Daphnia pulex: one gene and its partner. The protein of the gene in region 1 purifies or fractionates together with the protein of each later gene. This does not show direct contact. Links are inferred from orthologs where the notes say so. Each region holds a gene or a part of one and is shown in the gene's direction. Other genes may lie near its edges. The genes, in order: oxysterol-binding protein-related protein 8-like and Golgi apparatus protein 1-like.

Region 1 (4,623 bases):
GAGGAAAAACTACAGGTTCGAAAAGAAGAAGGCTGCCAATGAACTGTTGTGTTCCTTTAAAGACCCAGCTGTTGTTGTCTTGGCAGATTGGCTCAAAGGTATAAAGACTACACCAGATTTCATGTGAAAGTGTTGAAAAACCGTTGAATAACTTAAAATCTGTGTTTTTAGTTAGAGGAATGCTCAAGAGTTGGACGAAACTGTGGTGCATTCTGAAACCAGGTGTCATCTTACTTTACAAAAGTGACAAGGCAAAGGTAAAATATTACATTTGATTTCATGTGTGTTGGACCGATTACATAATTATTTTTGTTTGGATACCAATAACAGGACTGGGTTGGCACAATACTCTTGAGTATGTGCAAATTGATTGAGCGTCCTTCGAAAAAAGACGGTTTCTGCTTCAAACTCTATCATCCATTGGACCAATCGATATGGGCGCCGAAAGGGCCCTTGGGAGAAACAATTCGTAAGCTCACTTGTTTGATATTTTGCAACATCCTGTGGAAATCATTTATCATTATTATTATTATTTTAACTCTCTCCATTTTAGCTGCTCCAATTCAACCGCTGCCCACCTCTCACCTGATTTTCCGAGTGTCTTCTCAAGGAGCTGGCAAATGTTGGATGGATGCGCTGGAATTAGCCTTGAAGTGCTCATCGCTTTTAATCCGTTCCATGAGCACTCGAAGCACCAACATTGGCGAAGGTCTCGTTTCGGACCTTGCGTCTGGCCATCCCATTTCCGGTGCTTCAGCCTCTCAGAGCGGCGATCTCCACTGGAACGACTCGGATTTTGAAAAGCATTTCAAAGACCAGGGTAAAATTCAATTATTATTATTTTTTAAAAATGTCCGTCCACCGATCCCGTCATGATGAAAATTGTCAAAAATGTTGATTGCTGCCCTGCTGTTGAAAACAATAGAGCTAGAGCGCGTTAACGATACCCTCAAAGTAGTGCCTTTGGTTTCCATTATCTCGCCCTCCTTTTCCTCGAACGAATCGACTCCCAGGAGTCCCCGATCCACTTGCTCCGGCTCGAGTGTGAACAACTCTCCACAACTCCGCAAAATGAATTATTTGCACCGATTTCCGCGTCATTCAGCCAGGAAATTGGTGAAACAGAATAGTGGTAAAATGATTCTGGTCGTATGCTTTTGACGTTCGTACGCTTTGTTGTGTAGATGCTCTCTATTATTACAGCTTCTCTCCTTCCCCTTTTTGTCTTTTGTTTGTCGTGCCCGCAGATTTCGACGATACTAGTCATACGGATGAAAACGACATTACCGAAGCTGAACGACGCTCCGGCTCCGGGCTGGATGTGGCTGATTTCGCCACCGTTGGGCCTCGTCTTCCGCGCATACGACGCGATTCCCATCACTCCGATTCGGAATCGGAAGAAGACGAATTGAGATCACTCGACGATTTCCCAGTCGAGACGCCGTACGTTGTCCAACAAGAAGAAGAGTTTGGCTCGGTATATACCTTGTAGACCATCTCCTGAATATTCTTTTAATTATTTAAATAAATTTTTATTCATTTGCATAACAAAAAAAAAGACTGGAGAGTTGACGGAAGAATTGGCCGATGATAACAAAAGTTTGATTTGGTTTCTTGTCAAGCAAGTGCGCCCCGGAATGGATTTGTCCAAAGTGGTCTTACCAACGTTTATTCTGGAACCGCGCTCATTTCTTGACAAGTTGTCTGATTATTATTACCACGCCGATATCCTGTCCAGGTGAGAGATTTTCTCCCGCCATTTTTTATCGTTTATTTCATGTTTTATTTTGTGAATAGAGCTGTTTTGGAAGACGATCCTTTCACGCGGATGAAAACAGTGGTTCAGTGGTACCTTTCCGGTTTCTACAAAAAGCCAAAAGGTCTCAAGAAACCTTACAATCCCATTCTGGGCGAGGTCTTTCGCTGTTGTTGGAAGCATCCCAACGGCTCCACCACGTTCTACATAGCCGAACAAGTGTCCCATCACCCTCCCATATCAGCCCTTTACGTCACCAACCGTAAAGACGGGTTCACTCTGTCGGCCACCATTCTGGCCAAATCCAAATTTTACGGTAGATCCCGTGCCAAAAATAAATTAAAATTATTTCCCGTCTCCTAAATTAAATTAAAAATTTTCACAACAGGAAATTCATTGTCGGCTCTGCTGGATGGATCGGCTCGGCTAACTTTATTGCCGCGCGGTGAAGATTACGTCATCACCATGCCTTACGCTCATTGTAAGGGGATTTTGCTCGGGACACTCACCATGGAAATGGGCGGCGAAGTCTACCTGAAATGCGAAAAGACGGGCTACCGGGCCGATTTGGAGTTTAAACTCAAGGTAAAGCTGTAACTTTATTTTTAATTGGCCCTGGGATTGCCCGATCTGATTATTTTATTGTCTTTTTTACAGCCGATGATTGGCGGAGCGGATTTTATGAACTACGTGACGGGCAAGCTTCGACTGGGCAAAGAAACTTTGGCCACCATATCAGGCTATTGGGACGACTGCATCACGATCGAAGACAAGCGAACGGGAGAGAAGCAAACGCTGTGGAATCCGACGTCCGAAGTCAGGGCCACCAGACTCAAACGCTGGACGGTGGCCAGCGAGGAGCAACTCGGCTACGAATCGGACAAACTCTGGAGCAAAGTGGCAGCCGCCATTCGTCAAGAAAATCAGGTTTTTGATTTGAATAAAAATGTGAATCTTTTTTATAAATTTAAGCTGAAATTGTTATTCAATTAAATTAGGAATTGGCCACGAACGAGAAGACGATTTTGGAAGAGGCTCAAAGGAACGCCACCAAATTGCGCATATCTCAGAACGAGACGTGGATGCCTCGCTGCTTCGAGCTGGACCCAGTGACGGATTCGTGGCATTACCGTCACGCCGACGTCCGCCCCTGGGATCAGCGCAACGACGTTATCCAGTACGAGAGTAATTTCGTCATCGCCACCAAAACTCGGCACCGAACTCCCATGATTCGCGAGGCCAGCATAGTCAGCGTCGAGAGACAAACGGAATCGATCCGGCAACAGTTAGTCCTGTCGTCGCCCAATGGGCCCGAATTCCGGAAGCCGTTGAGCGAAGCCAACGTCAACGGGGCGAGTGTCATCCGGCGGAGGAATGCCGACGGAAGCATCAGTTCCTCCGCCGAAGGCGATCTATTGCATAGCTCGGAAGAAGACAGTCGCTTGAAAGCGGATAAACGTCAATTGCGGAGTGGTTTAACCAGGTATATAAAAATTCAAAATTAATTAAAAGTCAATTTCTATTTAATTTCTTTATTCTATTCAGCTGGAACCACGTGCTGCAGTACCTGGAAGAGTCGCACCGGGAAACGCAGGATCGATTGACCCGGATCCAGACGAGCATTCAGTCGATGGTGTTGCAACAGCACCAGACGTTGGGTCCAAAGAAGATGATGCGCGGCTCGTCGTCGCGTGACCTTTACCTGGTCGTTCTAGTGCTGGTCCTCTGCCAGGTGGTTCTCTGGTTGTACTGGAAGAAATGATCCCCACCCACCCACCAACCCTACTCCTCCCTTTACCTTCAAGTTTCGAAACATTTTGTGTTTGCAACAACGCCATAACCTCACCCGTATGTTAAGAAATCTCTGTGCCGGCAAGCGGGAAAAAAACAAATGAGTCGTCTCTTTGCTAGTACGAAACAAACAAAAATATGAGGTAATAGTAATGGTGAAGTAACGAGTGCTAGTCGGTCCCCCCTTGTCCTCCACCCACTCACCCCGAAATGCGTTCTACATACCCCTCCACACTAAAAAAAGAAAAAAGAAAGAAAACAATTAATAATAATTTTTCTGTTTTGTTTGATAGTGATGTGAACTACTGGAGCAAAAGCATTCCTTCCATGTTCTATTTATCCAGATATTTATGAGACATTTATTTAGTATGACCTCATGGCATGGGAGACTTGTGTGTGTGTGTGTGTTTGTGATGCAACAGGGATTTTTTTAAAAATGGGCGGAAACACACAACCAAACAGGGACTCGCAGCCGAAGGGATAGTTATATAGAAAAGAGATCAAGTGCCATGACATTTGAGAGAGAATATGATGTGCCGTCTTGACATTCCTCCTCTTCCATTGATTATATATCTTTCGACTTTGCTTATTTGCCACTCTCTCTCTACTTCGCTTCGAATTTTTCCTCCCTCTCATCTTTTCTCTTCAAGTCGAAAATATAAAACCTTTTTTCCTATTTCCCTTTCGTCTTCTCATCCATCGTGCCGATTTTTACTCGTTCGCCTCCGTCAATGCGAAATTGTCCATTTCCCAATGATATACTGTGTTACACAATTGTGTGGCAAGATCTGCGTCAATTGTCTCCTTTTTCTTCAATTATAAAGCGATATCTTCTCAATACACGTCAACGTGTCCCCCTCTTAAATTTTCGGATTTAATGTCCATTATTTTTTCGTACTCTTGTAGTTGACGAGTTAATTCTGATACTTTAATAATTATGAAAAAAAGTTGAAAAATGAACCGCCCCCGGGTGGGCTCGAACCACCAGCCTTCCGGTTAACAGCCGAACGCGCTAGCCAATTGCGCCACGGAGGCTCTATCTTTACTCTAACTAGACCCGTATAAAATTGCTTTGC
Region 2 (3,056 bases), on another chromosome or scaffold:
CCGAGCTGCTGTCGAGCATTTCCAATTGATTGCATTACAGGACTTCCGTTTCAGCGCCCCATTTAAACGAGCTTGCAAACAAGATATTTCTCGTCTGTGTCCCAACATTAAAGAAAAGTAAGTCATTACCAATTTTAAGATTTTGTTGCCAATTATTTCATGTGTTCATTCATTTCTAATTATCTAGACCAAAGGTAGTAGCTTGTCTGAGCGAGATGGTTCGAAACGACTCGGTGGCACAGAGCTTAGTTTCACGCTTGGGAAACCATGTCGGATCCCAGCATCGTGTGTCTCAACCTTGCCGCCAACAGCTTAGGAACCAGCTGCTCCAACAGCATGAAGATGTCCAGTTCAATCCTAACGTCCGCAAGCCTTGCGCATCCGATGAAAAGCGATTTTGTGCCCAAATCAAACCAGGACAAGGCCGAATTTTGGAATGCCTCAAAACCCACCGTAAACAACTGGATGATATTTGCCATGCAGCCATCTTCCAGGTCGAAAAAGAAGAAATGGATGACAGCGGTGTTGATTTCCAACTCATTCAACAATGCAAAGAACCAATTCGTCGATTATGCCAGAACGATGCTAGCAGCGCTCTGGAATGTTTAAAAGTAGTTTTGACCTTTCCCTCACATTTTTTTAAAGGGTATCTACCATTTTAATTTGCTTTCTTAGAGCCATCTGGACGACACCACTCTAGAACTTCATTGCAAAGAATTGATTTTGGAACGGATGGCTGAACAGAATCTTGATATTCGTTTCAATCCTGCTCTGAAGAAAGCATGCACCATGGACATACCGAAATTTTGTCTTGCGGTATTTTATTACTCTTGTGTGTAATACTATCGATCCTGTTTCTATAATACTGTTAATTTGAATAGGTTTGGCAGAGTGCACCTAAGGATCGCGAACTTGAAGGGAAAGTTGTCGATTGCCTGAAACAGAACTTCGTTTCTAAAAAGCCGCTGACCCAGTCCTGTGCCGACCATTTAACGGTCATAATGGAACAACAAGCTCTACATTATCAGCTTGATCCTGTTCTTGTGAGTGTCTGCGATAAAGAGGTATGTTGTGTCCATCTACCATGTTAAGGGAAAATCATCTTCATCAACACTTGCTTCTGCTGTAATAAGATTGAAGTGCACTGTGGACCTGAAGAGCTTGAAAACAACCGACAAGGTCAAGTGGAAGAATGCTTGAAAAGAAAATTTGACACGTTGACTAATGTCGAATGTCGACGCCACATCGCTCTGCTTATAACGGCTGTCCAGATTGACATTCAAGCCGATCCGTTGCTACACCGAGCTTGTGCTATCGATTTAGTCACATTTTGCAAAGATGTTCCACCTGGAGAGGGTCGAAGTATGTCCAATTTTGTAAATCTGTAGTGCAAAAGTTGTTAAATTATGTGACTTGTAAATAGGATTGAAATGTCTCTTGCGGTTTAAAGAGCAAGGGCAAGCGAAATTTGATCCGAAATGTTTTGATATGCTTACTACGAGGACGCAATTATTCGCCAAGGCTTCACAAGTATGCCTTATACCATACCGAGTAATTAATCCGTGACATAAATCAATTGACACACATTTATACATTTCACAGGTCATGCATCTGGAGTCAGTCAACGATTTAGTCGAACAACTGAGTAATTCGCCCGCCAAACACGTTTTCCTAGCGGTGGGGCTCTCATTTGTTGGATTAATTCTTTTGCTGGGGGTCTTTTGCGGTCGTATTTCAAAGAGACATCAAGTTATGAAGAACAGATAGTTTGCACTGTAACAGAAACTTGGATGTGGTTAATTGTGTGATACGTGATAGAATAGAGAATGAAAATATCTAGAAGCGAAGGGACACTTGGGCGAGTGCCTTGAAATAATAATTCATACTAAAAAAAAAGAGACGATGAAAATCAATTCAATCCTTCAATCAGTGTTTACGCTGTATATCCAAATTAAATTGACGAACTCGCCTACTTTCAATAATTCAATCAGACAAATTAAATTACAACCCCATTGATTTTATTGGGCAATAAAAAAACAGACGCACAATTTTTTTTTTTTTGCTTTCCTCCTTCTTTGTCCAATAAGATTTTGAAAATAAAAAAATGGAAAAGATTAGTTAATGTTTTGACGCTGATAGATTTTTAGCCTTTTGTTGATTAGTTTAGACAAATTTCTAGCCACTGGATTTAAGAACTAGCGTGTTTATTCACATCCCATATTGTCTAGTGGTTAGGATACCCGGCTCTCACCCGGGAGGCCCGGGTTCAATTCCCGGTATGGGAAACCTTTTTTATTTCCAGCACAATAAGTTGATAATTTTCTTTGTGAATTTAAGAACAAGATGTATTAAATGCGTTCATTGCCTAATTATGTTATTTCATTCATATTTGGCTATTTTAACGTTATTAGCATGTCGAAATGTGCACAAAATAAATTTTTTCTCACTTGTACATTATATAACATTATTTTGACAATTGTATATATCCCATATGGTCTAGTGGCTAGGATACTTGGCTTTCACCCAAGAGGCTCGGGTTCGATTCCCGGTATGGGAAACCGCTTTTTCGTCCCTTTTTGCTGATGAAATGTTTTTTAATTATTTAGAAAATCAATCGACAATTAATAAATGTGTGTTTCAAATGATTATTTATTATTTTAACATGTTTTATCAAATTTTCCGCGTTATGTTATTATTCCAATCAGTAGATGGCTCTGATTAACTAAATAACTATTATGGTGACTTCAGTCGTCTGCTTAGACAGCGGCAAAATGAGATTTCTTCGAACACGTTTTTCATTTTCTTATAATTTGTTTATTCATTCAAAATTTAACGAAAAAAGAACTAAAGTTTATGATGGAAGCTTAAGGCAATTTTCTACCACAAAAAATGAGCCATATTTCATCACAACACCTATATTTTATGTCAATGCAGGTTTGGTGTTTTCTTGAATTTTATTTTCATATTTAAGCATTTCAAATAGTACTACAATATTTGTTTTCTTTTAATTTAGAGCCTCATATTGGGCATGTCTACACAGCAGTCCTTGCTGATTC

Evidence for each region.
Region 2: the proteins of oxysterol-binding protein-related protein 8-like (region 1) and Golgi apparatus protein 1-like purify together in Homo sapiens (co-immunoprecipitation; 3 studies listed by BioGRID and IntAct, with this or other methods). This does not show direct contact. The link is inferred for Daphnia pulex from reciprocal best matches to the Homo sapiens genes OSBPL8 and GLG1.

The regions. Positions count from the first base shown.
Region 1 is NC_060024.1:3,680,419-3,685,041, reverse strand, and holds the end of oxysterol-binding protein-related protein 8-like, read left to right. Parts: coding exon 1-98; intron 99-171; coding exon 172-257; intron 258-330; coding exon 331-469; intron 470-553; coding exon 554-820; intron 821-1,247; coding exon 1,248-1,477; intron 1,478-1,559; coding exon 1,560-1,738; intron 1,739-1,797; coding exon 1,798-2,072; intron 2,073-2,144; coding exon 2,145-2,341; intron 2,342-2,413; coding exon 2,414-2,683; intron 2,684-2,754; coding exon 2,755-3,239; intron 3,240-3,301; coding exon 3,302-3,518; 3' UTR 3,519-4,412; downstream 4,413-4,623. UniProt on the Homo sapiens protein: Lipid transporter involved in lipid countertransport between the endoplasmic reticulum and the plasma membrane: specifically exchanges phosphatidylserine with phosphatidylinositol 4-phosphate (PI4P), delivering phosphatidylserine to the plasma membrane in exchange for PI4P, which is degraded by the SAC1/SACM1L phosphatase in the endoplasmic reticulum.
Region 2 is NC_060026.1:12,905,872-12,908,927, reverse strand, and holds part of Golgi apparatus protein 1-like, read left to right. Parts: coding exon 1-117; intron 118-187; coding exon 188-611; intron 612-675; coding exon 676-816; intron 817-881; coding exon 882-1,064; intron 1,065-1,133; coding exon 1,134-1,362; intron 1,363-1,423; coding exon 1,424-1,530; intron 1,531-1,602; coding exon 1,603-1,645; intron 1,646-2,213; exon of another isoform or gene 2,214-2,285; intron 2,286-2,485; exon of another isoform or gene 2,486-2,557; intron 2,558-3,013; coding exon 3,014-3,056. UniProt on the Homo sapiens protein: Binds fibroblast growth factor and E-selectin (cell-adhesion lectin on endothelial cells mediating the binding of neutrophils).